3 linked regions of the Ovis aries genome follow. The main gene of each other region encodes a partner of the protein of the gene in region 3 in a complex. Links are inferred from orthologs where the notes say so. Each region holds a gene or a part of one and is shown on either strand. Other genes may lie near its edges. The genes, in order: MAPK10, MAPK8 and ATF2.

The links.
Region 1: the proteins of ATF2 (region 3) and MAPK10 are in contact, whole or in part, in a crystal structure (PDB 4H36), measured with the Homo sapiens proteins. The link is inferred for Ovis aries from reciprocal best matches to the Homo sapiens genes ATF2 and MAPK10. Residues at the interface, in NP_001243019.1 of Homo sapiens: Lys48, His49, Met51, Thr52, Leu53, Lys54, Phe55; in NP_620448.1 of Homo sapiens: Asp150, Ala151, Gln155, Met159, Glu164, Arg165, Tyr168, Val197, Lys198, Ser199, Asp200, Cys201, Trp362, Glu367.
Region 2: the proteins of ATF2 (region 3) and MAPK8 are in contact, whole or in part, in a crystal structure (PDB 6ZR5), measured with the Homo sapiens proteins. The link is inferred for Ovis aries from reciprocal best matches to the Homo sapiens genes ATF2 and MAPK8. Residues at the interface, in NP_001243019.1 of Homo sapiens: Phe36, Val44, Lys48, Met51, Thr52, Leu53, Lys54, Phe55, Gly56, Pro57; in NP_001310257.1 of Homo sapiens: Asp112, Ala113, Gln117, Val118, Met121, Glu126, Arg127, Tyr130, Leu131, Tyr133, Val159, Lys160, Ser161, Asp162, Cys163, Val323, Trp324, Asp326, Ser328, Glu329.

Annotation. Positions count from the first base shown.
Region 1 is NC_056059.1:101,630,275-101,640,587, reverse strand, and holds part of MAPK10 (mitogen-activated protein kinase 10), read left to right. Parts: intron 1-3,849; coding exon 3,850-4,032; intron 4,033-9,078; coding exon 9,079-9,203; intron 9,204-10,313. UniProt on the Homo sapiens protein: Serine/threonine-protein kinase involved in various processes such as neuronal proliferation, differentiation, migration and programmed cell death.
Region 2 is NC_056078.1:41,695,185-41,706,138, forward strand, and holds the start of MAPK8 (mitogen-activated protein kinase 8), read left to right. Parts: upstream 1-3,748; 5' UTR 3,749-3,900; intron 3,901-4,494; exon of another isoform or gene 4,495-4,674; intron 4,675-10,954. UniProt on the Homo sapiens protein: Serine/threonine-protein kinase involved in various processes such as cell proliferation, differentiation, migration, transformation and programmed cell death.
Region 3 is NC_056055.1:134,974,649-134,984,961, reverse strand, and holds part of ATF2 (cyclic AMP-dependent transcription factor ATF-2), read right to left. Parts: intron 9,964-10,313; exon of another isoform or gene 9,931-9,963; coding exon of another isoform or gene 9,840-9,930; intron 7,442-9,839; coding exon 7,323-7,441; intron 7,196-7,322; coding exon 7,067-7,195; intron 3,345-7,066; coding exon 3,166-3,344; intron 1,680-3,165; coding exon 1,565-1,679; intron 1-1,564. UniProt on the Homo sapiens protein: Transcriptional activator which regulates the transcription of various genes, including those involved in anti-apoptosis, cell growth, and DNA damage response.

The sequences.
Region 1 (10,313 bases), on a different chromosome or scaffold from region 3:
CCCAGCCCAGGGATTGAACCCGGGTCTCCCGCATTGCAAGCAGATGCTTTACCATTTGAGTCACCAGGGAAGCCACTTGATCCCACTTGGTAGCCTCTGAAAGCTTAAATGTACATGGTATAAATTATGACCCCAAATTTTCAGAAAATATTAAGGCATTATTCATACATTAGGCTTAAGGCAGTTTGTTATATATTTCAGAAAGTTTCTCAACCAAGGAAGTTAATGTAAAAGAAGGACATTAAATGTAAATTCTTGGCTAACTGACAAAAATTAGCTGGAATGATTTCCAAACTTAGGATTTCAAATAATCACTTTTACAATCCATACTTTGTTTCTTTCATCTATTACAATACTACTTATTGAAGACAGTAGTAGTAGTCAATAGTTGTATATTATCTTATCATACTCTATTTAAAAAAACAAACTTTTTAGTGTAGTGAATTTAGAACTAGATGAGAATATTGTCAAATAATTCCTACTAGATGAAATTTTAAAATTTTTATTAAATACATTTGATAATTATGTTGTATGATGATTTCTGAACTAGTAGATCAAAAATATATATGTTTTGCTTTTTTGATGACTGCACATGCTGGAATCTATAGGTACTCACATAGTAGAAACATGATGACCTATTAGTGTCCTAAAGCAAAGAAATTGTTTTACAAAAGTAATTTTGGTCATTCTTTTAAAAAATATTTACTATTTTAAATTAATACATAATCATAAAAACCTGGTTAATATTTTCTGTATTTTTAAAAGTATAATCATTGTGGAAATCTGATGATTAAAAAGTTCTTTTAAAATATATCACCTTATTTTCTATTTAAATATTAATAAAATTAGTTGTTTTATGTGAATAAGTTGGCCTAATAGATTAAGAAAGCAGTTTCAGAGGCATTCTTTAAGAGGGATTGCCTGTGACAAACTTACGATCAATTTTATGGCAAAATTAAAGTAATATTTACTACATCAGTTCCAGACTTGGTCTTTTTTCTATTTGAATCCTTGGAACAAGACCTGGATTTAGAGCCAGGAGATATTTCTAGTATTGGATTGTATTTGTTTAATTATGATTATAGAGAAAACTCACATGGTTAACTAAGTATATAGTTGTTAATGACGTAACCCTGTGAATGCCTGTAAAACATGTACTTAGTGCTTAAATGTACTAGTCATGTTTTGGGGAAGAAAGAGCTTGAAATGGATTGGTTAAAATAAAGGGCACACACTTTTAAAGATGACTATACCACATATTTACAGTTAGAACAATCAAGTATTTCATTGCCAATAATAAAGATTAGTGTTTCTTTTTGGTAAACCATTACATCAAGGACCATAACAGTATTTCATCTAAAGAGCAATCTAAGGTAGGAAGATGTGCTGAATGCTTCTAGAGACTTTAATTATAACTTTTAATAAGAAACATTTTAATAGTTCTTGTTTCATTAATTCCAGGATGTTTGACTCTCCTTAAACTTCCCTGGTGGCTCGGCTGGTAAAGAATCTGCCTGCAATGTGGGAGACATGGGTTCAATCCCTGGGTTGGGAAGATCCCCTGGAGAAGGGAACGGCTATCCACTCCAGTATTCTGGCCTGGAGAATTTCATGGACTATATCGTCCATGGGGTTGCAAAATGTCAGACACGATTGAGTGACTTTCACTTTTTCTGAAAGTTTACTGTAAAAAAACCATGTAATTGTTTTGGAAATGTTACTTTAAAAGCAATTCACTTTTTAGTTAAATAACTGTATCAAGTGTTTGTTACTCAGTAGTGTCTGCCTCTTTGTGACCCCATGGACTGTAACCTGTCAGGCTCTTCTGTTTGTGTAATTCTCCAGGTAAGAATACCAGAGTGGGTAGCCATTCCCTTCTCCAGGGGATCTTCTTACCCACAGATCAAACCTGGGCCTCCTGCATTATAGGCAAATTATTTACCATCTGAGCCACCATACTGTAGCTAAATATAATTATACTAGTGTATTGGGAGTATTTTGCTAACTTTGTTAGAAGACTCCTTTACAGAAAATCTGATAACTTCTCTGCCCTGATCAAATCTTTAGAATTCTCTAGAAGTTTGATCACTGATTAAATTATGTCTTGTTAGGACATGATAACTGAACAGTATTAAAAAGTAGATCTCTTTTCATAATTTACAGTGTGAGCATTGAGGTTTATTTAACTGTATTAATGTTTTCTATTTAAAATATATCTAAGTAAATCTAGCTTACCTATTATCAATAGTACTAACATAAGTTTTTGTCTGAATAACTTTTAACTCTAATCTTTTGCATTTTTTTACTTTATTCCTAATGATTCTCATTTACTACTATATATTCTCATACACATGGTAACTGAGATGAATTTTTATTGAGAGACATTCTTGTTTAGTTATTTCTGTCATTTTGTAAAGGAATATTCTTTAGTTTTCCCCACTCTTACTTCATTTCTTGATATTACACAATCATACATTTTTTTCATCCTAGTAACTGAGAGGATATATAATTTAAATTTTATTCAGCTAGATTATAAGAGAAATAGAAGAACATTTGCAAATTAGCTTGGTTTTACCTTTGTTCAGTCACCTATCTACATTGTATTATATATTTATTTTTGTTAAATAGAGTTAATTTTGTCAGGACTGTCCATCATTTTTAGTCCAATGCTATAGAAAAACTAAGGGTAATGATTTTACAAATCTTAATTAAATAATATTATAGTAACATTCCCGGAACTGTCACAAATTGCATTAGCAGAAATGAATTAACTTTACACTAAAGATGGAGTTATAGAATTAGCAACATTGGAGACAACAGTGCCTATGGTATTGGATTTGAGAATTTCTAAGGCCTCTGTCTTTCATTGACACATGGCAAGGAAATCTATTTGAAATCAACTTCTTCCAGTTGGCTATTCAGAGTTTTCATGAGTGGTATTTATCGTTCCCAAGCTCTAACATATCAAATATCTATGAAAGATGAAAAAGAAAATCTCAATCAGTGGGTGTGCATGTCAAAGACCCCCAGTTTTGGAAGTATTAGTGTTCATAGAGAGGTAATGCTTTCCTTATAAAATTCCCCATGTTTAACATGCTTTTGAAACACAGGCATTTGGATGAAATCTGTCTTGAATTGAACATCCTATGTTTACCTTCATATTTCATTGAATATTACAATATTCAGGATATAAGGCACTATTATCAGAAGTAATAAAATGGGTATGAAACTGCAACTGCTTTGATAAACAGAATCTTTTAAGTCTTTGAAGAACAGTTAATAAGTTATTATCATACTGATTCTATTTGTAATGTGCATGAGTCGAAAAAATTAACAGACGAGGAAATTTCCCATTTTGTTGAGAACAAGAGGAAAAAAGAATCTTATAAAGAATTTAAGAAAAATACAGATGAATCTTATAAAACATTTATTCATCTGTCATTTTTAGAAAATAAATGGAATAATTTCATGATAATATAATTATATGTCATTATAATTTTTCTCTTCCACACTACATGGCTATATAGAAGTTTAACTCAATAAAAGAAATTCTTGCGTTATTTAAATACCTTTCCATTGACACAACCCAAAGACTCTTTCATGATATCATATTTTGTTAAGTAATGCTAATTCCTCAAAAGTGTATGTGTTCTCAAAGTGAATTTAAAATTCCAAGAGGATTCACTGCCTGACAATCTGATTTTATATGTTTGTCCGTTGTTGTTTTTTTAGAACTTCTTTTGTGTTATCGACTGTTCAGAGTTCTGAGAAGCAGTTAGTCTCCCAACTAGTGAAAGGCAAGAGCTGGTGTCCTGCACTTGTTTTTGCCCTTAACTATTCAATTCTCAGATATTGACCAGTGGAATAAGGTTATTGAGCAACTAGGAACACCATGTCCAGAGTTCATGAAGAAATTGCAACCCACCGTAAGAAACTATGTGGAGAATCGGCCCAAGTATGCAGGACTCACCTTCCCCAAGCTCTTTCCAGATTCCCTCTTCCCAGCGGACTCTGAGCACAATAAACTCAAAGGTAAGCCCTTCAGGGATAACTTCAGAACCACCGCGTGGGTGATGCAAACCATAGACACACTTCTCCCAATGCTGGGAAAATTGAGCGCAGGAAGAGAAGGAGGCGACAGGGGATGAGATGGTTGGATGGCATCACTGACTCAATAGACATGAGTTTGAGCAAACTTAGGGAGATAGTGAAGGATAGGAAAACCTGGCATGCTGCAATCCATGAGGTCGCAAAGAGTCGGACATAACTTAGCAACTGAACAACAACCTCAATTTAAGAAGAGGTATTTTTAAAAGATCCTCATTACAAAGGGAAAGTAATCAAGGATTTTAAAATTTTCTGGATATCTAGAGAGAAGACTAGTAATAAAGTGTGTGACAGTGGTATGGGTTAACTATTCACATATTTAGAATCTAAAATTACTTTGCAATGTTAATGCTAAAAGAACAACATTATATAGACATTGAAACAATTGTTCCAGTTATTTTTATATTCTGGAAAATATTTTCAACACAAGATTTTCATTGTAAAATCTTGAAACTATAGATGTTTGAGTTTTATTTGTATTTTACTAAATGCTTAGCCATCGTTTTTTATTTTAGAGTGACAAATGAGATTTTTACCTTCACATTTTGTTTTCAACATAAAGACTTTCATTAATAAGTAATTTTTTCTACTACTATGTCTGCCATTATGAACTTTAGTAATGAATCTTAATTTCTTACCCACAAAATGGAGATCATAATGGCTTCTTTATAGGATTCAAGACATAGAATAAATTTGGCAAGGTATAAAGTATAATGTAAGTAATATTTTAATTCTTATTCTAACTTATGACACTTCAGAAATTGGGGATATGAAGCAAATCTGATTTTTTTTCCTTTGCTGGGGGAAGGAATCCTATCCTTTAAAATCTGTGTGAACCTGGGCAAGTTATCTAATCTTTTTGTATCTTCTTTAACAAACTAAAGCAAGAAGTGTCTATCTTATAGGATCATTGGGAGGATTAATTGAATACTTGGCCAAGCACTTAAAACACTGCCTGTCTCACACTAAATGCTCAGTAACTGTTAGATATAAAAAATAATAAATCTTTATTAATAATAAAATGATTATTTCCAGGGGATCTATGTTGTTGTTTAGTTGTTATGTTGTCTGACTCTTTGTGACCCCATGGACTGTAGCACACCAGGCTCCTCTGTCCTCCTCTGTCTCCTGGAATTTGCTCAAATTCACATCCATTGAGTCAGTGATGCTATCTAACCATCTTATCCTCTGCTCATCTTATTCCTCATCTTATCTTTTCCTTTTGCCTTCAATCTTTCAGAGTATCAGGGTCTTTTCCAATGAGCTGGCTCTTCACATCAGGTGGTCAAAGTATTGGAACTTCAGCTTCCCCTGTGACCCCATGGACTTTACAGTCCATGGAATTTTCCAGGCCAGAATACTGGAGTGGGTAACCTTTCCCTTCTCCAGGGGATCTTCCCAACCTAGGTATCAAACCCAGGCCTCCTACATTGCAGGCGGATTCTTTACCATCTGAGCCACAGGGGAAGCCCAAGAATACTGGAGTGGGTAGCTTATCCCTTCTCCAGGGGATCTTCCTGACCCAGGAATCGAACCAGGATCTCCTGCATTGCAGGTGGATTCTTTACCAACTGAGCTATTAGGGAATCCCCCCACCCCGCCCCGCCCTGCAAAAGGACACACACTCGTGAAATTTTACTGCAAATTGTTCAGTGGACAATTAATTAGTTACAGATTAAATGTACAGACTTAATTTATAGTTAATATAGAATTAAATGAGGTGGAGAAACCAAAATATAGTGTTACAACTTCCCAGGGTCATATTATCTTCTCTAGACTTCCATCTTGTGGTTTTTAAATTAAGTACAGTGTTGTTTCTGTGTCTGTGACACTTTCGTTGCACAGTTGGGTTTCTCCCTTCAGCTACCTGTACCACTCTCTGAATTTTATAATTATTGAATTATAATTATAATGCAAAATCAGCAAATTATAAAGAATTACACAAATAATCAAAGGGAAGGATTTATTCTACTGTTGTTAAAGAGTGTAAGACATTTACTTGCAAACAAAAGAATGAAAGATGAAGAATTAAAATCTTTTCCTCTTCCTCATTTTGTTCCCTACAAGCAGTAGTGACCATTGTTTCTTAGTGAGATGATTTGGTGTTCCAGTGGTTCATTCTCCCATAGATGAGGAGACCACCGCAACCCCTACTCTTCCAAGAACAGAAATGTGGGTGACATGAGAACCCATGGAGTGTGTGAGTCTGGGTATAAAATCAGTTACAAATCAAAGAGGTCTTGAACTAATGAAATAGACACAGACCTGTTAGGTTAACAGTCAGAAAAACTAATACTTAAAATCATTGTATATTTCTGTACTTTTGTCACTCTGTCAACTTCAAAGTGTCAGTTTGGAAGTAGCAGAAATTAAGTGTTTGGAATTGAGATCCCCAGAAAAATGACTAATAGAAATAAAAAAATCTTCCAGTAATTTAACTAGTGATTTTTAAAAAATATATAATTAGTATAAATGTGAATATTTTAGTAAAATGTAATAACACAAGAAATACAAATGCTGTAGATGTGAAAATTAGACTGCCACATTTTAACTCTAGTATAATCAAAATTATGAAACAGTACATAAAACTAGAAGGGAATACATTAATAATAAGAATGATTGCTTCCAGATGGTGGGGAAGGTTGGCTTTTCTGGATTTTATGTTTAATGTAATTTCAAAATTTTATAATTAACCATATTTCATTAATAATAAAAATTGCTAATTAAAAATTGGTACATATTCATGAATTCAAACACACTGCCTTTTTCCTAAGTTAGCAAACCAGTTTTAGATTTTCCTTTCTTTAATTTGAAGTTTTACCATGTTTAGAATAAATTGAATATATTCACCATAAAAATTTCCAAATCAGTTTGGATCCTTATTTTCTGAAACATTTTTTGTATTTTCGGATATGTTTAGAGCATCCTTTAGAAAAGTTAGGGGCTTCCCTGGTGGCTTACATAGTAAAGAATCCACCTGCAATGCAGGAGAGCATGGTTCGATCCCTGGGTTGGGAAGATCCTCTGGAGAAGGGAGGGGCTACCTACTCCAGTGTTTTGCCTGGAAAATCCCATACTCAGAGAAACCTGATGGCTACAGTCCATGGGGTCACACACATACGATCAGACATGACTGAGCAACCAATACACTTCACTCAGCAATGTTATTAAATAAATACATTTACTGATTATCACTGTGCAAATTTTTTTGTATCCCTAGCATTTGAAACTGTACCTGGCACACAGTAGATGATGTATGTTGAATATTGAATAAATAAACAAGTTCCCTGCATCAATTTGTTTACTAAATCTTGTGGATTTTTTCTCTCAGAGTTGCCCCCTTCTCTCAATCTGTGAAGCTTCTGCTTCCGTTAAAGTCCTCATTCTCTCTCCCGTTCTCCAAAAGTCACCTCTGACTTCCTTGCCTCCCTCCAGATACTGCTTTGTCCTTTTTTGCAGCTCTGAAGTTTTAAAATGAGTGGTGTACACTCACTTTGTTTCCTTTTAAAAAACAATTCTTTAACCTTTATTTTTAATTATGCAAGCAATACATGTATGAATTTTCTTCCTCTCAGAGGTACCTATGATTTTCAATTTGTCTATGATCCTTGCAGAATTTTTCTATGCATTTATAACCATAAATAAAGAGAGAGAGAAATGTTTGTTGTTTTATTGGGAAGAGGCAGATTTATACAGTGGCATCAGGATCTATGGGTCATTCTGCAGTTGTTTTTTCAATTAATACTATGTCCATGTGAATACATCTGAAAGTGAAAGTTGCTCAGTCGTGTCTGACACTTTGCGACCCCATGGACTGTAGCCTGCCATGCTTAAAACTGCCAAACTTAATTGGTACAGGTGGATGACTCTTGAGAGTCCTTTGGACTACAAGGAGATCAAACCAGTCGATCCTAAAGGAAAGTGAAAGTGAAGTTGCACAGTCGGGCCTGACTCTTTGCAACCCCGTGGACTGTAGCCTACCAGGCTCCTCCCTACATGGGATTCTCCAGGCAAAAGTACTGGAATGGGTTGCCATTTCCTTCTCCAGGGGATCTTCCCGACCCAGGGATCGAACCCTGGTCTCCTGCATTCCAGGCAGACACTTTAACCTCTGGGCCACCAGGGCAGTCCAGCAATAGTACTGGAGTGGATTGCCATTTCCTTCTCCAGGGGATCTTCCCAACCCAGGGATTGAACCCGGGTCTCCTGAGTTGTAGACAGACACTTTACTGTCTGAGCCACCAGGGAAGTCCCTAAAGGAAAGCAGCCCCAAACATTCATTGGAAGGACTGATACTGAAGCTCCAACACTTTGACCACCTGGTGAGAAGAGCTAACTCATTGGAAAAGACCTTGATGCTGGGAAAGATAGAAGGCAAAAGGAGAAGGGGGTGGCAGAGGATGAGATGGTTAGATAGCATCACCAACTCAATGGACATGAATTTGAGCAAACTCCAGGAGATAGCGAAGGAGAGGGAAGCCTGGTGTGCTGCAGTCCATGGTGTTGCAAAGAGCTGAACATAGTGACTGAACAACAGCAACATTTAGATTGTTTAAAATGTTTTATCCTTGACCAATGCTGCAGTGAGCGTCCTTTCTGGATGCTTTTCCTGAACATGTGCAATTGTTTCTCTAGACTGTATACCTAAAAGTAGAACTGTTGGGTCATAAGATATTCACATTTAAAATTTTAAAAGATACTCCCAAATGTGCCCTCTAAAAAAGTCTTTATAAATTTACACTGCAACCAACATGAATGAGATTATTGAATATTATGCCATGTTTTGTGTGTATTTGATGGATAAAAAATATTTCATTGTTTCATTTTGCATTTCCCTAAACACTTGGTGAAGTTAGCTGATGTTTGGAAGGAAGGTGCTAACTGACTTTTTAAAAAGTATTTTTCCCTCTAAAAAATGTCCTTGCCACAATCAAAATTTAACAAATTTTTTTCTTCATTCATTTTTTTCAGCCAGCCAAGCCAGAGACTTGCTGTCAAAGATGCTAGTGATTGACCCAGCGAAAAGGATATCAGTGGATGACGCCTTACAACATCCATACATCAATGTCTGGTACGACCCTGCTGAAGTGGAAGCGGTAAGGTTTAGGTTTATTTTATTTTCTTTCCACAAACAAATCATAGCAACTGGGTGCTCCATGGTGTGCACTGAATGAGAGTTAGAATCCAAAAGAATTCTCAAAGGGCCTTCATAAAATTCCTAAGTCACAAAGCTACTACCTTCCCTTCTAAAAGTTATTTTCTTCAACCTATGTTTTGAGTTGCATTTCTTTTTCAGGATTTCCTATGTGAGATGGTGATTCAATCCAACACCTTGGCTATTCATGACATGCTTCCACTAGTTTTTGTTAAATTATTAATACCACCAGTATCTCCTTATGTTTAATGATCAGTCTCTCTTGATGCAAACTAAGTAACAAAAAATGTAATAGAGGATAAGTCTCTTTGCCTCTCTTCCAATCAGGTGCCTGGTTTTAATAAACTGTGGTACTAAGAACATTTATTCTTTTTAATTAACTTATTTATTTTAATTGAAGGATAATTACTTTACACTACCATGATGGTTTTTGCCATACATCCATGTGAATCAATCCCAGGTGTACATGTGTTCCCCTATCTTGACCCCCCCTCCCACATCACTCCCCACCCCATCCCTCTCGGTTATCCCAGAGCACTGGCTTTGGGTGCCCTGCTTCATGCATCGAACTTGTACTTGTCATCTGTATTACATATGGTAATGTACATGTTTCAATGCTGTTCTCTCAAATCATCCCACCCTTCCCTTCTCCTACTGAGTCAAAAAGTCTGTTCTTAACATCTGTGTCTCCTTTGCTGCCTTGTGTGTAGGATCATCATTACTGTCTTTCTAAATTCCATATATATGTGTTAATATACAGTATTTGTCTTTCTCTTTCTGACTTACTTCACTCTATATAATAGACTCCAGTTTCATCCACCTCATTAGAACTGACTCAAATAGACTCCTTTTTATAGCTGAGTAATAATCCACTGTGTATATGTACCACAACTTCCTTATCCATTCATCTGCCGACAGACATATAGATTGGTTCCATGTCCTAGCTATTTTAAAAAGTGTTGCAATGAACAATGGGGATACATGTGTCTCTTTCAGTTCTGGTTTCCTCAGGGTGTACGCCCAATAGTGGGATTGCTGGATCATATGGCAG
Region 2 (10,954 bases), on a different chromosome or scaffold from region 3:
CACAGAATCCTTGTTGAGACACCTGATGAAAAGTCTTCTTCCTAAATATATATTTATTTAAAACAACAGCAAGGATTTTATTTATTGTTACAGGACTTCAATGACATATTCTTTCCCTTCCACTCAATTCCCTTTTTTTCTTCCCCAGGGGATAAATATTGAATACCTTCAAAGCTGGATGTGGATGGCAAGAAGGCAGTTTAGCACAGGTATACCTAAGCTGTGGCAGGCAAGGGTAGAACTTTATTAAAGAGCCAATAATGAAACAGTTCCTTAGCTCTCCTTTTACTGAGTGAGCCCTCAATAGGTTCAAAAGGAACTACAACCAGTTAACAAGGAAGAATGCCATGAGAAGGAAGAAGGAGGCCCAGAGCCATGTCTGGGTTACGGAAAGGATTTTGAATTTGCAGACTATCAAGATGATAACATTCGATCACAAATAGTGAAACGCCTTCCGAAATCACACACATGCACATATATGTATATAACCATGCAGGATGTCTTTTTCTAGATGTAGATAAGTGGAAGCTGGCAGTGGAAGGCTGAGGCTCAACCAGAAGCTCTTCCTGTGGAAAGAGAGGCTGTTACTAGCATTATAGAGCTAGGTATGAAGACTGGGAGCTCTGTTCTGCAGCACTCACTCCACAACCGCGCTGATTATTTTGTCTTTTGCTACTTCCACGTGTTCCGTATTATCTGCTGGGGAGCAGGAGGTACCTGTCAATACTTCCACCTGCCTGTCCAGTCTTATATCCTCCACCCTTTCCTTCACCTCGCTCTCCCAGGAAACTTACACTCATGCTTTTTCCCTCTGTTCCACCTTTCCCTCCTAACAGTCTCCCTACCAGATGTAAATATGTATGTGTCTTCCTTCACTTCCTGACTCATCATTACCCACCATCTCCATTTTCAATCTCCCATTCATTCCTTAGCCCACTTCAAACTACGTCTGGATCTAAGTACTCCAGGATTTTAAGCTTCCTCTTACACTTGATATTACTGATCACTCTTTCCTGAATCCTTCTCCCCTGGTTTTCCTTCTTCCTCTTGGGAGCTCTTTCTCAGGCTCCTCTTTTTTGTATTAATTCAGTGCTGAAGTTCCTTAAGCCTGGCTCCAAGCCATGTTTTCTTCTTGTTCAGTTCCTTTTCTCACTCAGGCCGAGGCTAACTGATCCACCCCCAAGGCTTTAAGTCATCACTATCTGCCAATGATTCTTCTCTTATCCACCTGATCCCAGCTCTGAATACCACCTTCCAACCTGGCATCTCTTTGGGGCAGATCAAAACCTTCAAACTATTTGTTCTCACAATCTTTCCATGCAACCGCTGTTCTCTTCCAAGATTCCCATCTCAGTGAACCAGCACACACATCCCATCTTTGGCCACATGCAAAAAACTTACAACTCTTCCATAATAACTCCGTTTCTTTCACTGTCCACCTAAATCCATCACCAAGTTCTCCCAGAGGGTCCTTTTACTGTTTCCATGACCGCCACACTAGAGCAAGCCTCTGCCACCTGCCATCTAGACTGCGCCTGTGTCTACCTGGCCTCTTTTCAACAAGTAATCTTCTCAAGATGCCATTCTGACCATGTCACACACTTTGCTACAGCATGCCAGGTACTTCCCATTGCACTTAGGATAAAGACAAGATTTTCAGCATGAGTAGTATGGCTGTACTAGGTTTGGTTCTTTTATAATCTTTCAAACATCATCTCATAGCTGCTTCTTCCTTGCTTTTCCAGCAGCACTGGTCTTTTCCTCAATTTATCAAACTCACCCTGCTCCCTGTCATCACATGACTCTTGCACACTAAATTACCTCTGTCTGAAACAAATGTTTTTTGCCTGGTTGAATCTGTTCTCAGTTCAAGAGGCAGTTCCTCAAGGAAGACGTTCCTGGCTTTATTAATTTCATCAACTGGTTCAATATCATTTTGTATTATAATGCAGCGATCATTTTGGATTTGTTTACTGTTATTATTTCTATATTATAATGATTAGGTCTGTAAGCCCCATCCTATTTCCAGTGTTAGCAAAGTGCTTGGCACAGAATGGGCATGTAATAAATATTTATTTGAGAAATAAAGAAAGGAAGGAAATAAAGAAGCCGAGAGAGAGGGAGGAATTAGGGAGAGACTGAACAAATGAATTTATGTTTCATTTCAGAATCACTGGAAACAGGTCAGTCCAACATGACATGGAAGACAGTCTACCTGAATTCACTCCTTTATTCAATAAATATGTATTATTCATTACTAAAGTAGTATACTTTTTTTCTGATTATGAACACAATGTGGAAACCACAGGGAAATATTAAAATATAAAAGAAAACCAATTCACAGTCCAATGATGAACTACTGTTAAAATCAGTTCAGTTCAGTCACTCAGTCACATCTGACTCTGCGATCCCATGGACTGCAGCATGCCAGGGTTCCCTGTCCATCACCAACTCCTGGAGCTTGCTCAACTCATGTCCATCGGGTCGGTGATACCATCCAACCATCTCATCCTCTGTCATCCTCTTCTCCTCCTGCCCTCAATCTTTCCCAGCATCAGGGTCTTTTCAAATGAGTCAGCTCTTCGCATCAGGTGGCCAAAGTATTGGAGTTTCAGCTTCAGCATCAGTCCTTCCAATGAATATTCAGGACTGATTTCTTTTAGGATTGACTGGTTGGATCTCCTTGCAGTCCAACGAACTCTCAAGAGTCTTCTCCAACACCACAGTTCAAAAGCATCAATGCTTTGGCGCTCTGCTTTCTTTATGGTCCAACTCTCACATCCATACATGACTACTGGAAAAACCATAGCTTTGACTAGACAGACTTTTGTCGGCAAAGTAATGTCTCTGCTTTTCAATATGCTGTCTAGGTTGTTAAAATGATTTGCCACGTTTTTTTTCAGTTTTTTTCTATGTATGTGTAGTATATAAGTAGGATCATTCTCTCCATGTATAATAGATTTGCTTCTTTCTCTTAATGAAGTATGATGAACATTTTCCTGTGTCGTTAAGAATCCCTCGAACACACGGTATTTAAACTTCTAAAATGTATTCTTTTGCAAACATGTATGTAATTTAGACATCTTTCCACTCGCCGGATATTTAAGGGCTTGCCAATTTGTCACTTCTCTAGCTAACATATATATACATGCCTTGTGGGGCCGAGACAAACAGGATAATGCAGTGACTTCTGTAGGAAGTGGACTTAGGGAAAACAGGAGGCAGGTTTTTCCAAGTGGCTTAAGAGAATATTTGCTTGAGGGTTGCTGAGCCCGAAGCAGGTGTCCTCCGAGTGGAACGTACTGTCAGTCATGGTAAAGAGCTTTCTGTCCCTCAGGTGTGAGCCCTAGCCATAGTGCCAGATTCCCGGGCGGGTCCGGCTTAAGCGCACCTGACCTTCAAACTCTGGGGCAAGGAGCCCCAGAGGCCTTGGCTGGGACTAGCGGACCGCCCCCATGCAGCTGCGGGGCACTCAGGCCACACGCCGCCACGCGCCGGGAGCAAGTCCCCGCCCCGTTCAGCACTCCGCCACACCCCGCACCGGAGACTCTCACGCGCTCTTCTCGTAGCTCCGCCTCCAGGCGACCTCCGCAAGCCCGCCCATCCCCCTGCAGTAGCCCCGCCCCCGGGTTGCGGGCTCCGCCCCCGCAATCCGGGCCCCCGGGCTGCCCCGCCCCATGGGCCGCTCGCGAAGCGCGGAGGCGGGGTCCTGCGCGATGACGTGAGCGGGCGTGCGCGGTGACGGCCCGCGTCCCTGTTACTCAGCGGAGCGGCGGAGGCCGGACGACGCGGCCCGGATCGCGGAGCCGCGAGCAGCGCTGGGTAACGGCTGCGGAGACCGCCGAGACGGCGCCGGTTCCCGCCGCCGGGCTTTCCTGTCGCCATTCGCTGCGCTGCCGGGTGAGTGCGGCCAGTGCCTCAGGGCCAGGGCGGCCGGCGGCCCCGCCGTGTTTATGTTATTGTGCCGCCGCCACCGCCTTTGCTCAGCCGTGACCCCCTCCCGGGAATGAGGACGGGAGCGCGCGGCGGGCGGGGGGCGCGCGGCCGGCGGGGGCGGCCGGGAACAATAGCGGCAGAGGCGGCGGGGGCCAGGGGGCGTGGGGCTGCGGGACCCGGGCGCGTCCCGGCCGCCCCCTCGGCCCCAGCTCCGCCCGTCGGTCCTCGCGCGCCCTCCTCGCGCGGGTCCAGCGCCCACGTCGGGAGAGGAAGATGGAGCGGGAGGCGGGTGGCAAGTTCTGAAACACTTGGGCGAAGGTCTGGACGAAGGCGCCTAGTCGGCCCGCTGCTCCCCGGCTGCGTCTCCCGGCGGCAGGGACCCGCAAAGAGCGCTCCGGTGGCCGGGTCGCGACGCGTGCCCGGCGCCCACGGGGACAGCGTTTTGTTTCTCGGTGGTTTCTTTGTGCTAATGTTCCGAGCGAACGCAGGCGGCGGTGCCGAAAGAGGCTGGAGTGGCCTTCAGCTCCCGCCTTGGAGGAAGAGCTGGGGCTCGAGGCTTGGGCAGGAGGTGGAGGTGTCCGTCAGGCTCAGCGCGAGCTTCAGTGGTCAGCGCGCATTGCTCTGGAGGCTCACTCGGCGGCGACCTTTTGACTTTTTCACCCCACCCTCCCTTCTCTTTGTCTTGCGCTTGTGTTCCCTGTCCTTCGATGGGAGCCAAGTCTCCTCTAAAGTCCTGTGGTGAGCACTTTTCATTTTAATTTCTGAAAGTTTCCCATCATATGTTTTCTGTGAACTAACTTAATAACATGTTGACTGCACGGTATCAGACAGTGTCCAATGGTTACTATTTTTGCCCCTAAACTCACTGATCTTTCTAGTAGAATTCTGGCCTGTCAGTCCATTGTGTTTTAAGAAAAGCACCTAGCAAGTACCTCCTTGGTAATTAGAACATCTGTTTATTTCATTCATTCATTCAGGAACTGTTCAGTATTGTACCCAGATGGAGTTTGAGGGCAAAGAGAAATACTCTGTAATGGAAGAAAATACTTTGAACTATAACAGATGTACCTTTAAATTAGATGGTTGTTTAAGTGATGTGAGTTAAAGAAGGTATAGTTATGCTTTGGGTCATTCTACTGTTTTTTAGTAGTGTATCTGGAATTTCTAGTGTAACATTATACTTATGAAGAAGTAGGCTTACATTTGGTCTAAACGTACAACAGCTTTTATGTATTTCGTTACAGTCATTTGTGATATTTGCTTCAGAATCCCTTGCTGTGGGTTAAGCCTAGGAGGTCAGATGCTGTGAGTGAGCCTGTGTAGTGTGTACCTGATGTAACAAGCAATCGCAATGTGACTTCCTTGAGGACAGGCCTGTCTTGCATTTGTGTTTCTAACACTTAGCCTGGAATATAGTAAGTGTTCCATGAAAATCAGATTGATGGAAAGCTCTTTAGAGCTGATAACATCGAAATTCAAGCCTTAACAAAAAACATTTTAATGTTCTCTGTATAGTTTTGGAAGCCTCAAGCAAACTCACTTCCAGATGACTAAATGATCAATTCATATATATTATCTGTCATGAAAATAGGGGCTTTTGAATCACTTCAGTATTAATTTTTTTCCTATCACTTCTAACCCATTGACTATCTTAAAATTAAACCTTGTCTAAAATACTTTTAAAAATATGTGTGTGTCTCTGTGTGTAAGTACACAGACACACAGTGATATTTCAACAGGGTCAATAATGATTGTGAATATTACCTTTTGTGAATATTACTTGAAAAGTTTCTGAATGCTCTTTTAAGCAGAAAAGTTAAAGGAAACAAATTGCATAAAAGTTTTTGTTAGAAATGTTTAATTCTAAATTCTTCATTGTACTAATACTATTGGTGAGGCATATGGGCCTAAAACTGAAAATAATATTAATTTATCCACATTACATCTCTTTTCCACTTAGTATATCTTAGCATTTGCTTTGGATATAAAAGAATTTGAGGTGAACTTATTCTCTGATTTAGAGAACAAATAAAGAAATAACATGATACTTTATTAACATAAAGGATGAAAATCTTGAGATGCTAAGCTTTATTGCTTTACCTAGTTAATATGTCAGATTTCAGTAAGGGTAACTGATACAGGTCCTCGCAGTCATGCTATACTTGTGCCAAGTCAGAGTTTTTTTAACTTGGTTTTCTAAATTCTGTTGGCTTTAAAAAACTTTTTCAAGACACCCCATACTCAATAGCAGTTCCTCCTTATTACGCTCTATGTTATCTTTAAAGGAAGAGAGAGCACTGATTCTGATAAGTAAATTCCATTAATGAATTTGAAAAGGGCTCCCTTTAATTCTCCTGGAAGAGCAAAAAACTATATCCTTTATATCCTAGGAGAAAGGTCACTTGGAGGGAAATTAGTTTAAGAGTAAATTCTACCAAAATTAATGAAATTAGAGTCTCAGCTGTTTGCCCAGTGCCTAATATTATGGAAATAACCTTGTGATGATACTCAATGCTTAGTGAAACAACTTGAAGTAATTTATTAAGTGACTAGTCACAAATTATCCTAGTTGCAATTAAAAGCTTGTTGAATAGAAGCCTGATTCTTAATGTCTTGGCTTTGTCAGTGAGTTGAGTTTTGACATATTTGAGTCATCCAGATAATTGAGATGCGTTGTTGCACGTGTATAAAGTAATGTCTGATATTAAGATGCCAGCTCTCTAGAGATCTCTGCTCGAGTCAGTAGTATGGATAGTAGTCGCACTGATTCATGCAGTTCAAGGAAGTCATTATAGGCACATAGCTTTAGATGGAAGTCATTTGCCTATTTCTGTGAGCTGTGATGCTTATTGTCTTAGTCATGGGTTCTTTACATCAATATTTAGTAGCTTTGTCTTCTTGCTCTAATGCAGATTAACTTGAACTTTGATTTCACAAATGAGTTCTGAGTCAACAAACTTTGCTGCTGAAAAGGTGACAGGAGCTTATTAAAGTAAGCTGCCCTTACTTCTGTCAATCAGGGCAACAGGTAGAAATAGACATTTCCAGGAATCAGATCTAGGTTCACTTCTCAGTTCTGTCATCTGAACTTTGTCGTCAACAAGCCCTAGAGCTGTAGACAAGTGGCTTATCTTTTTGGTTAGAACTATAAACTGAGGCTGTTGGAGCTTTTTTTTTTTTTTTTAAAATAGAAAGGTTATTTCCCCAGACAGTTGGTTCTTTAGAAAACCTACTGGGACAAAAGAGTCCTTCTTGGGTGATACCAAAATCCTGTGTCAAGAACAACAATGAAACTTAGACTTTGTAATGTACAGAAGCAGAGAAAATTACTGAAACAATATTTTCTATAATATCGATACTTATATATCAACTATAAAGCCTCACTGGAAGCCAGGAGTTCTTTCGTCCTTGTACTCAGTCATGTCCGACTCTTTTTGACCCCATGAAGTGTAGCCCACCAGGCTCCTCTCTCCATGGAATTTTCCAGGCAAGAATACTGGCGTGGGTTGCCATTTCCTACTCCAGGGGATCTTCCCTACGCCAGGGGATCTTCCCTACGCAGGGATCGAACCGATGTCTGCTTTGGCAGGCAGATTCTTTACCATTGCACACCTGGAAAGCCCCAGCAATTCTTTGGATGGTATATTTTATTCATTCCATAGCACCGAGCTTACTAATGAGACTAGTGCTTTCAGATACTTAGTGGAAAATGTGAAAAAGAAGAGTTTATTAGCCTCAAGAAGCTTATGATCATGAATAGAATTTAAGGCCTATCTAAACAGTGAATTTATGTCCTTTTAAAAGATTATGAGGCGTCTCCCAAATGAACAATCCTGGCAAGGCCAAGTTTTATTGAAATCTAGTTTTTAAAATTATATGTGAGTGTGTATATGTATGGAGAAGGCAATGGCACCCCACTCCAGTATTCTTGCCTGGAAAATTCCATGGACGGAGGAGCCTGGAAGGCTGCAGTTCACAGGGTCGCTGAGGGTGCGGGTTGGACACGACTTAGTGACTTCACTTTCACTTTTCACTTTGATGCATTGGAGAAGGAGATGGCAGCCTACTCCAGTGTTCTTGCCTGGAGAATCCCATGGATGGGGGAGCCTGGCGGGCTGCCGTCTATGGGGTTGCACAGAGTTGGACACGACAAGTGACTTAGCAGTAGCAGTATATATGTATAAGGCCTTTTAGAGTATTTATTAACTGCCGTTCTTTTTCAGGGTGGTGGGTTGTGTAACAAATATAGCACAAATATTGATATATGTCTCCATCCATATAGCTTTGTAGTGCATCAGATTTGGTTAAAATCTAATCAATATTTTAGAATGTTAAGATGTTCAAACTTAGTTGTGGTTGCTAGCATGAACTTTAGAGTCAGCCCTGAGTTCCAATCCATACTCCAGATCTAACTAGCTATATGGCATAGGCTAGTTCAGTTTATGGAACATTTCTGGATATGTAGCATTCAGTTCAGTTCAGTTCAGATGCTCAGTTGTGTCTGACTCTTTGCGACCCCATGAACCGCATCACACCAGGCCTCCCTGTCCATCACCAACTCCCAGAGTTCACCCAAACCCATGTCCATCGAGTTGGTGATGCCATCCAGCCATCTCATCCTCTGTTGTTCCCTTCTCCTCCTGCCCCCAGTCCCTCCCAACATCAGGGTCTTTTCCAATGAGTCAACTCTTCGCATGAGGTGGCCAAAGTGTTGGAGTTTCAGCTTTAGCATCAGTCCTTCCAAAAGAACACCCAGGGCTGATCTCCTTCAGAATGGACTGGTTGGATCTCTTTGAAGTCCAGGGGACTCTCGAGAGTCTTCTCCAACACCACAGTTCAAAAGCATCAATTCTTCGGCACTCAGCTTTCTTCACAGTCCCAACTCTCACATCCATACATGACCACTGGAAAAACCATAGCCTTGACTAGACAGACCTTTGTTGGCAAAGTAATGTCTCTGCTTTTGAATATACTAACTAGGTTGGTCATAACTTTCCTTCCAAGAAGTAAGCGTCTTTTAATTTCACGGCTGCAGTCACCATCTGCAGTGATTTTGGAGCCCAGAAAAATAAAGTCTGACACTGTTTCTACTGTTTCCCCATCTATTTCCCATGAAGTGATGGGACTGGATGCCATGATCTTCGTTTTCTGAATGTTGAGCTTTAAGCCAAGTTTTTCACTCTCCTCTTTCATATTCATCAAAAGGCTTTTTAGCTCCTCTTCACTTTCTGCCATAAGGGTGGTGTCATCTGCATATCTGAGGTTATTGATATTTCTCCCGGCAATCTTGATTCCAGCTTGTGTTTCTTCCAGTCCAGCATTTCTCATGATGTACTCTGCATATAAGTTAAATAAGCAGGGTGACAGTATACAGCCTTGACATACTCCTTTTCCTATTTGGAACCAGTCTGTTGTTCCATGTCCAGTTCTCACTGTTGCTTCCTGACCTGCATATATTATCTGTCAAATGAAAATAGCAATAGCACATAGTCTCATAGGTCTGTGAGATTTAAATAAGGTACTGCATGTACAGTATCTGGAAGACTAGATGTAAATATTAAGGACATTTTAGCTGTTGTTATCACTAATTACTAACTTGGAGCAAATTTAAAATGCCAAGTAAATTTAAAACCAATTTGATATACAGTATCCAGTCAGATTCTCCAGAATACACCAGTTTTTTCCCCCTCTGATGCGTCTCTAGGATTTTATTTAAAATTTTATCATGTCCTTTTTTTTTTTTAAGTTTTGCTTTTTTATTGGAGGTTAATTGCTTTACAGTATTGTGTTGCTTTCTGTCATGCGTCAGCATGAATCAGCCATAGGTGTACATACGTCCCCTTCCTCTTGAACCTCCGCCCCGCCCCTCTCGGTTGTCTGTAGGGGAGCAGAGTTTGGGCCCCCTGCCTCTCCCAGCAGGCCCGCGCTGGCGGCCTCTTCCCACATGGTAATGCGTGTGTTTGCAGGTTGCTCTCTGAATCCGCCCCTCCTCTCTTTCCCCTGCCGTGCCCACAGGTCTGTTCCGTGTGTCTCCATCGCTGCCCTGCCAGGAGGCTCATCAGTACCAAGTTTATCCTAATCTGAATTCTGAAATGATTTCACATTTGGATCAGTAATCCTCTCTGCCTTAAAATTTGGAAATGTTCCCAAAGCAAATAATAAAGGAAAAGTTTGCCACATTCACCTTTCCTGTGTAGAGAATTGCCAAAGCTTTCCTGGGTTTGTTTTGACAGATATCTGAAGGAATGGGAATCCAGGAGCTATGAGTAACTTTATCATGTACCCACATTTGAAGAAAATAGAATACTGTCACGTCTTTTAATCTTATTGAGATCTCTGATTCTGTGTGAAAAGTGCAAATTTGTTAGAGACTGGGTAACCACAATAGTTCATAAACCATTTTCTAGAGGTTGTTAGGTAGCATCTGGAAATACTGTTTTTCTTTTCTCTGTTTTCCTTGTAATGTTTGTGTGGTTAATTTGGTAGACCAAACTTCTTGTTCCTTCTTGCAGACAGCAACTATGAGGTGATGCGCTTTGCACATGCAATTATTTATTGAGAAGGCACTCTATACCAGATCAGGTATTAAGTGATTGTGGGGGCCACATGAAGTAGAAGTTAGTTTCTGCTTTCAATGAGTGTAACTTTATGGGAGATAAGAACAAACATAGGTGCGTTTAGGTCCTAATACCGAGAATCAGGACCAAAACCAAGTATTGTTAGGCATTTCATTGGGAATTTCTTTAGGCATCAGGCTTCAGAGCTGGCTGGATGTTGGGGCATTTGGGGACTTCTGAACCAAACATCTTTAGCCCTGCCTTTTAAAATATACTGAGTAGATAAACCACAAAAAGCAAAACTTCTTCTCTCCTAATTTCTGGTTAAAGTTGAGAGTGTGGTACAGATCAGTTAAAATCTAAATCAGAAGAAAAGGCATACCTTGTAGTCACCTCGCATCCACTTTGGAACAAAACAGGACATCGAAATAAGCATATGGAAAGGTGCAAGTCACATGTTA
Region 3 (10,313 bases):
GAAAAGAGAGAGTAGTCACCTTATATTTGAGTCCTTATAAAACTCTCAAATAATGCATTTTGAACTACAAAGTTCCATTTGAAGACAACACATTACCTTGATTTTGTGGAAATATCTGAAATATTACAATCAATGCTAATTTTGGATACTTAGAAAGGTCACTTTAGTTAATAAAGTAAGTATTTAATATTAATTTTAGTTAATATTCATGAGAATATAATCTCACCAAAAGTGTTCTGAGGATATAATCTCACCAAAAGTGTAAGGAGGATTTTAAAAATAATTTTTAAAAACTATACAATGATTATATTGTACTGACCAGAAATATCTATCTACAAGGTGAAAAAAAGAGACTGTATTTTTGAGTATTAGGACTTAATGTAAGATTTCCAGGATTATAATAGTAGATTCAAAAAGTGTTACACTGAAATTATTTAGATGAGGATGAAAATAACGTGTTTTGGAAAACTTTGTGAGGTTCCTTACAAAGTGGTTCTAATGACAAAAACTTGAATATTAAAGACACATTTGAAGATTCTGTTATTTTATGAAATGTGAGAATAGAAAAAAAGAATTATTTATAATATATTATTCCAAAGAATGTGCCTTTAAATACTAAGTTACTGAATAGTATAAGTAGATATTTAACTACTATGTCTTTCAACATTTATATAATTAACATGCCCCTCAAAAAACTTCTTTTTGATCTTCTCATTAGGAAAAATGGTAACTATCTATTGTCCATTCTAGTAGACCATTTAGATTTTCACATGCTTGGGACAGCAAAGGAATTCCATAAACCCAACATGACCACAGAAGTTCAGAATGCTTTTATAAACAATTTCTCTAATAATCAAAATAACATAGTTACCTGATAAATGTTCCAGTATAAATATCTTCTTACAAAACAGAGATCTATGTTAATATTTTTTTTTAATACATTTATTTTTATTTGTTTGGCTGTGCTGGGTCTTGGTTGCGGTACATGGAATCTTTGATCTTTGTTGAGGCACGTGGGATCTAGTTCCCTAACCAGGGACTGAACTCGGGCCCACTGCATGTGAGCGCAGAGTCTTAGCCACTGCACCACCAGGGAAGTCCCCTATGTTAATATTTGAATTCTACAAATCTAGCAAATTGAAATGGGTTGAATAAGGAATTAGTTTTTTTTTTTAATTCAACCTTATGTTTATTTTTTTAATTTATTTTTTAATTGAAGGATAATTGCTTTACAGAATTTTGCTGGTTTCTGCCAAACAGCAACATAAATCAGTCATAGGTATACATATGTCCTCTCCCTCTTGAACCTTAGGAATTAGTTCTTAATATTAAAAATAAAAGGAAAACAATTAAGATTTCGAGGATTGAAAAATGTTATTTATCCAGTTATGTTTGCCTCGAAAGATTTATGCTATCACAGTAAATATCAATGAGTAAATATTACTTAACACTAAGTATTTTGTTGAATTCAGTTTCATAAACTAATCAAGCAGCCCCAAGTGTATTTTCTGATTATAAAGATCAGTTTTCTATAAAGAAAATATTAAATAGTCTAAAAACTTACTGGGACTGCAGCTGGAACATGCACATTAGAACTTGTGATTGATGCAGGAATCGCAACAGGCATGGTTTGTCCATTAGGAAGATGTAACAGAAGAGGAAATGGGCCTGGTACAGGACTAAGGAAAACAAAAGAAGGGCAATTAGAAAAAGGAAATCCGTATCAATGATGTCTAAAAAATATAAAAGTATTTTTACTATTATAATTTAAAAATAAATTTTCTGGAGACATCTAAAAAATTAATAAACAAAACAGAAGAGAAACAGAGAACAGACAGGTGGTTGTCAGAGGGAAGGGAATGGAGGGATGAGAGAAATTAAGAGGTACAAACTTCCAGTTGCAAAGTAAATGAGTCACAGGAATGAATTCGCAATGTGAAGAATATAATCATTAACAATGTAATATCATCCCTGTATGGTAACAAAGGTGGTCAGAAGATACTAACTTATAGTTGGAAGACACATAAGTACTAGGGATGTAATGTGTATGTGTGTGGTGTGCTCAGTCATGTCTGACTCTTTGCAACCCCATGGACTACAGCTGCTTGCCAGGCTCCTCTGTCCATGGAATTTTCCAGGCAAGAATCCTGGAGTGGGTTTCCACTTCCTTCTCCAGAGGATCTTCCGGGCCCAAGGATCGAACCAGCATCTCTTATGTCTCCTGCACTGGCAGGTGGGTTCTCTACCACTAGCGCCACTTGGGAAGCCCTAAACGTTCACTGTATATCTCAATAAAACTGGAAGAAAAAAAAAAGAACAAGAGGTCCAGCCCAAGGAAAATGCCCATGTGACAGATACAAACTTGATACCATTTCTTATAAAATGAACAAAATACCCACAAAAAATCATACATGGTGTATATATGCTGCTCAAGTAATTAAACCAACATTTCTGAACCACTGCAAAGCACATTGTAAAATTTAATTAGTTTTAATTGCATCTTAAATGCACAATGTATGCAAGCAGTATAGGAAAAAAGGAAAAAAAATGGGGAAAGCTACGAATTTACTTAGAGAACAAACTGCAATATATTAATTGAGAGAAATTCTTATCAGAAAGCTCTTGAGAGCTCCCTGTAAAAACTGAAAGAAATGTTTTGTGTCAGTCACTCAGTTGAGTCTTACTCTTTGCAACACCATGGACAATAGCCTGCCAGGCTCCACTGTCCATGGGATTCCTCCAGGCAAGAATACTGGAGTGGGTAGCCATTCCCTTCTCCAGGGGATCTTCCTGACCCAGGTCTCCCACATTGCAGGCACATTCTTTACCATCTGAGCCACCAGGGAAGCCCTGAAAGAAATGTTATCTAGTGATAAAGATAATCTTATGTGTTTTGTGTAAAATAGCATGAAAATAAGAGACCATCTTAAAATCACAATCTGCGTTGTCTTTAAAATTAAGCTCTGTATATGTTTTCTAATGTGTTAGAAAACATTCACATTAAAAAAAAAATTACCCAAGCATTTTTTCCAAAAATAAAAGCATGCAAAAATGATTAACACACAAAACTAATGCCACAATTAGAATAATTAAATGTCTTAGGAAAACCATGAAAACAAAAACTTAACAATTCAGAAAATTCAATGACTGGCCCAAATCACTTACACAATTGGCCTGTTGGAGGACGGTGCCTGGGTGATTACAGTACTTGACGTTGGTGAAGGTACTGCCTGCTGAATAATGACACTTGAGTCAGAACTTGTAAGCAGCACATTGGGAACTTGTAAAGATGCTGGACGAACGATAGCTGATGTAGGCTGTGCAGTTTGTGCCAATGGTACTTCCTATTTAATAATGAGATGGAGAAACAATGAAATTTAAAAATCCAAGTCAATTCATGTACCTTAATGAATAGAATGACATGTCTTAAAAAAACCCCACAAACTCAGTACTAAGTATCACCCCAAAATATATTAATATTTATTTAAAGTTAATTATGAGAAAATTGTTTCAAATGCAGTGTTAATATTTTAATTTAAAAAACATCTGAGTGGTTTTTTTCAGTACAACTTGTTTTACCATCAATCTAGAAATAACTTAGGCTGGGCAACTTGGTTATATAACTCCATGAGAATTCTAGTAAAAAATAAAACTACAATTCCATTCTCATGGAAGTACAGAACTTAAAATCCAGATGGGACTTCCTTGTCCTACTCCATCATTATATTGTATAAAGAAGAAGTAGGTCCAGGAGACTCTTTTATAGTTGATATCAATTCAATAATAAAAATGTTAAAATTTTTTTTTAAGTAATACAAATGTTTGCCAATTTCAGATAACTATCTCTACATTACCAATAATTTCTCAGTATCAAAAGGTGAAGTAATATTAATACCTTGAATGTAAAACTAAACTATTGTAGTAAGATCTTTCCAAAGTAAAGAAAAACACGGAACCTTATAGATGGTCTTTTCCCCAATTTACAGATTAGAAAACAGATTATCCAGAACTCCATAACTAGTATAAAAATTGGTCCACCATGTTCCTTGAATTTGCCTTTATACTGCCATTTATTCTCACAATTTTATTAAGCTACACAGGAAGAAAAATAAACTAGTACTATTGGAATTTCGTTTACTTGACAAGTTTGAGAAATTACAACATGCCCTGAAGGACTAGGAGGAAAAGAGACAGTAAACAAGTAAAACAAACCAGAAAATTTTGGACAGTAATGTCTTACAGACTAACAGTATAACATAATATCAATAAATCATGAGAGATTAACTGAGGGAAAGTTGGAGTTGGCTACTTTAGATAGCATAGTGAGGTAAAGTGAGCTTCTTTGAAAAATGGCATTTGAACTGGTACTGAAAAGATGAGGAGCGCATTCTAGGGAGAAGGAAGCAATACCAAGAGCAATGTCTTTGAGGGAGGGAAAAGCTTAGAATATCTGATGAACACTTTCATAGGAAAGGAATGAGGTGAGGTTGGATAAGAATACAAGTCTAAATCAATGATGGCTTACGGAGAAGTGTGAATTACCTTAAATGCAAAGGCAAACCACTGAAGGATTTTAAGCACGGAAGTGACATATTAAAAATATACAGTCTAGCTTCCCTGGTGGCTCAGCTGGTAAAGAATCCACCCGCAATGCAAGAGACCTGGGTTTGATCCCTGGGTTGGGAAGATTCCCTGGAGGGGAACAGCTACCCACTCCAGTATTCTGGTGAGTGACTTTCACTCACATACATATATATTCAGATATACATCTACATAAATCTAAGTATTCTGTATATGCTTGTGTTTGGACACTTTCTGCATGTTTGTTACATTTCAATTAAAAAGAATTTAAAAAAGAAAAACAAAGCCACCAATTAAGAAAAATATACAGCTAATGAAAAATAGGTTGGAGATGGAAGTAGAAAGTCCTGGTAATTGTTAAAAGTTTTATTAACTGAACAATATATTAACAAATAATTATTAACAATTATTAGAAGGTAACAATAATCCAAGTAAAAGATGATTTGGACTACAGTTGCGACAGTGAAGATGAAAGAGATAAATTAAGGATATATTCAGGAAGTAGGTTTGGTAAGATATGCTACTGGTTTCATTGAGAAGAAAAAGAGGGAATTAAGTATTCTTTATTTTTGGCCAGAGCAACTAGGTGGATGGAGAGGAAATTTACTGAGACGAAGAAGATTGGCGGGGGGGGGGGGGGGGGGGGGGGGGGGGGGTGGTGGTGGTGAAGGGCTCTAATTTAGACATACTACGTTTAACATGACACATAAAGGGAAATGTCAAGACAGAGCTGCATATGAATATGGAAATCTGGGAAATATCTGGGTTGATACAAATTTGGAAACCAGGTAGATGGTTTTTAAAGTTACAGGTCTGGATGAGTGCATTTAAGAAGGAAAAAATTGAGAAAGAAGGGGGCTCAGAATTTACTTCTTACAACTATTCCAATAACTATGCCCTGCCCAGTGTGAGCTAATGACTGAAGAATGCAGGAAGAAGAAGTACCCCTAAGAGGGCTAAAGCAGCAACCAGCAGGAAAAAACTGTTGACTGTGAAGGGACTGGAATATTCTCTAGGTAAAAGATATTTATATCAAAGATTTAACAGCATTTCTTATAACTGTGATAATGTGGAAACAATATTTACATTCAAGATCTGTAAATACATTATGATAATGACAAAATAAAGTGCAACCATTAAAAATAATGACTTTGGAAAATTTTCCAATGGCATGGGAAAATCTTCATTAATGCTGACTGTCTAAAACATGATATAAAAAAGTAAACTATGATTCTTCTTGATATTTATCTTTTTATCCCTTTATACTTCTATGTAACTATTCACTTGTATATGTGTGAAAGTGTTAGGCAGCTCTTTGCAACCTCATGGACTGTAGCCTGCCAGACTCCTCTCTGTCCATGGAATTCTTCAGGTAAGAATCCTCCAGTGGGTAGTCACTCCTTCCTCCAGGTGATCTTCCCAACCCAGGGATTGAATTCGGGTTTCCTGCACTGCAGGCAGATTCATTACTATCTGAGCCACTACAGAAGCCCAATATATATATGTATATTTCTACGTATAAAGGTTATGCATATATCTAGGAAAAATGTTTCAAAATACTAGTAATTCTTACAACTCAGTTATGGGGTAAAAGGTAATTTCTTTCTTATATTTTTCTGGATTCTTAAAGTTTTTTAATAATGAGAATGTACTATTATAAGTAAATAAAAAAAATACAAAACACCTAATGGTCAAAGCATTTATTCCTAGGCATCAATGAATAGTTACCTTTCCTGCCTTACTTCTAGCTCCTCTGCCATGGCAAAAGTCCATTAGTTAGGCTATGATTTTAGAGTAACATAACCTACAAAAGAACACTGTCATTGCCTTTTATTGTGCCCCATGCCTCCAAATAAATGTGTTTAGTAGATGTGCTAATGAATGACCATTAATTGAGAAATATCTGTAATAATGGTAACTCAGCACATAATATACCCCAGTTGGTCCCTGGTACCAAAGTAGTCAGATCTAGGAATGAGGCACTAAATTACTACAAAAAGACTATAACAAGTAAGACAGTGTAATCGTCATCCTATTAGTTGCTATTACCAAAGATCACTGCTGAAGTAAGTAGCTATTCCTTTAACCTTTTAAAAGTCTATATAACCTTTGTTCAAACAATTTTTAGTTGCAAAGATTCTTAATTAAGCTGTCACTGTACAAAAGTAGCAAAAAAAAAAAAAAGCAAAACCCAGAGAAATTAAATTTATAAATTTATGTATCCTCTAAAAAAATAACAGGTTTATCTTAAATGACTGCTATTCTCTCCAATAATTTGTCATAAAAAATTATAGATAAACAAATTATCTTCTTTCCCTAAAATTTCTTAGGATTCACAGGGTTTCACATGTAAGGCAAGTACAACCTGATGCTGATTAATGCATTACATTAAAATTTTATCTAGATCAAATATTAGACTTTACTGAGAATGCTGATTTTTTTTCCCACTTAGTTTGAGTTTCTTCTGTAAATACAAACTTCTAACCTTCTCATCACTGGTAGTAGACTCTGGGTGAGGTAAAGGACTATCCTGGTGAGTTGTTTCTACAACAGACGGCTCCTCAATTTTGCTTCTTATGATGGGTGTTGCAAGAGGAGATAAATCTAGAGGCATCTAAAAATGCAAATTAAACAAAGTGTTAGGAGTTTAAAAACAGCCAATCAGTATATCTAAAATAAGAAAGCAACAAGTGAAAACTGTTCTGTCAGAAGCACTCTTAATTTCATGGCTGATAACATACTTTTTTAATGTCATCTTCCGAGGCTTTCTTGAACTCATTCTCAAATGGACTTGCCAACTCATTAAACAAACCCACTTCTTCACAGTTCTTCAAGAATCTTGTTGGTGTTGGGGTCTGATCTGAAATAAATGTCAATAAGTAATTACACAGATTTAAGTATCATACCGGACTCTAAAGTATTTTAGCAAGTAAATTAATGAATTAGCAGGACTGGTTCAGTCAGCTGTTAATTCTCTTTGGAAAGACCTCTTCCTTTAAAGCAAACAAAATTTGGTTAAGTTCTTGTTGCAGTTAAAGGTATTTCCTCCAACTTTATGAACAATAAAAGTATGAAAAGAATTCCTTCTTGTTCCTTATTCCACATGTTCTGAGTAGAGGGACATAAGCATCCTCTATTCAGAGATAAACTATTATCATTATCTAACACAAATTTTTTTTAAAATTTACACTATTAAAACTTACAAATACTTAAAATACATGCAATTTGGGGAGAACTAAGACAAGAACATGTATATTTGCTTTAACTTGGTCCTTCCACTAGTGTTCATAATCTATTATGAAAGCAGGCTTAAGATAAAACAGTGTTGCACTAAAACACAAACTGGGTGTACACGTGAGCACATATCAATTACAAAACAATAGCTAGTTAAGGTCTACACTGAATGAAAAACAGCTAAGTTATGAATTTTGCCTGTTTAGTTTTATTATTTTCAAGGCTGTTTGCTCACACTGATTATGATTAATAGCACATTCAATTCTATTCACATTTTATATACTTTAGGGCATCAACTTTATAAGTTACATCAAGGATCTAGCTTAAACTAAATAAAAGTATAAGACTGACTCCTGGTTTAAGATATAATACTCATAAAACCTTCTGTGAAATTAAAATATGTATTTGTTAATTACTGGATCCCTAGAGTGGGCATCACTTACTGTTTTATCATCACCCTCAACCCAACGTATACACAGAGTATTAATGTGTTTACTACATATAAATATTTTACACTAAAATTATCTATTTGTTATACACATTAGATATAATATAGGCCTACCTCAGACAGTAGTAGTAGTATCAAACTTACTGAAGGACTTTTTGTCATCTTTTTACCTAATAGTCTGCAATGTACATAACCTATACTCCCGGAAAGACATACAAAATGGTATTATAATAATACCATTATTGTATCAACCTAGGTCCATCCATCATGATTGCAATAGTAGACTGAACCTAAATTTGACTCTTCTGTTCATGCTCAAAAGATTTGTCTATGCCTAAGAGAAGGTTCCTATTTTGTATTAAAGGGAGCTGCTGCTGCTCTTAAGTCGCTTCAGTCGTGTCCGACTCTGTGCGACCCCATAGACAGCAGCCCACCAGGCTCCCCCATCCCTGGGATTCTCTAGGCAAGAATACTGGAGCGGGTTGCCATTTCCTTCTCCAATACATGAAAGTGAAAAGTCAAAGTGAAATCGCTCAGTCATGTCCGACTCTTCGCAACCCCATGGACTGCAGCCCACCAGGCTCCACCGTCCATGGGATTTTCCAGGCAAGAGTACTGGGGTGGGGTGCCATTGCCTTCTCCAATTAAAGGGAGAGGAGTCTTAAAAATAAAATACATATGCAAAAATCATGTTTTATCAGCAATTACTGTAATGATCAGGCTTGGAAAGAAAAACGTCAACACAGGCACAATTGTTTAAACATGCATATGGTTTTTGGCTATTGATCATCAAATATATATCACACGCATCATGCACTATATTTACACAGTTACGCTGTACTACTCAAATATATTTAGTTAAAGAAAAAAAGTCAAGTGCTATGTTTAGATGTGTTCTACTTTTCTAGCACATTAAATGTAAACAGAAAGGAAAGTAAGTTCTAGAAACCAATCTCAAAATATTTTTGAGTTAAAGGTTACAGAGAGAGATATGGCTCTAAGGCAAGAAGTTCCAGAGAAGGAAAGACCTTCATGCCCAGGGGAGTGAAACTTCCAGGCTGTAGTTATTTTGTTTGCATTTTTGGTTTTCTCTCTCAATATCTGATACACGGTATTTTAAAGAAATACATACCACACTCTTACCTGCTTCCTTTTACTTATAGAAATGAAGATGTGCTGAGTGTTCCCCTACATTTTTCCTAAACAAATTGTTTTTTTGGTGAATTATCTGTTACCTCCAGTTTTTTCAAGACAAAAATCTTGATACTGAATAATAAGAATTATCTTTTTTCCTCATTATCATATACAATGCTTAAGAGAGATAATTTGATTTCAAGCTGGGTAATAATTTGAAGTATTAATAATATTCAGTATTTAGGTATAATTCTAGACTTACAAATAGTATAACCTAAGCTTTACAAGAGAAAAAATTAAAACATTAATTTGAATATTTGTAATATATGACTGTGGTTATGACAAAAGCGCTGAAATTTATATATTAAATTTTATATAAAATCATTTTATCACAATACTTCTATGTGTATACATATACAGAGAGGTATGCATCTATAAATACCCAAAAAAGAAGTAGCTGACAGCATGGAAGGACAATAAATCAGTGCATGCACTGGGCTTCTCTCTTCACATACTGAAAGATAATCATCCATTTAGGTGATACAGTATGTTCATAGGAGCAACATCTAAAAATAAAAAGCATTGATTGAATTTAAGCCCGGTTTATTAACACAGATGTTTAGTCCAAACAGAAACATAAACAAAATCCTAATGAACAAGTCTGCTAACTGCTTTCTCCAACAGGAGGAGCCTGATCATTTTCTAGCTTTACATAGCACTGTAAAGCAGATGTAAACAGCTAAAAGAAACAATGACTAAACATCATGTTAATTGAATTATCAGTTAAATGTAAATTCTGGAAATGGTATGAATGCTCCCAGATCCTAATTAACTTCCACAAAAAATGATATTGAAGTCTACATTCGAAAACTATACAAAAAAGTGAAATGAATGGTCAGAAGGAAACATGAAAATG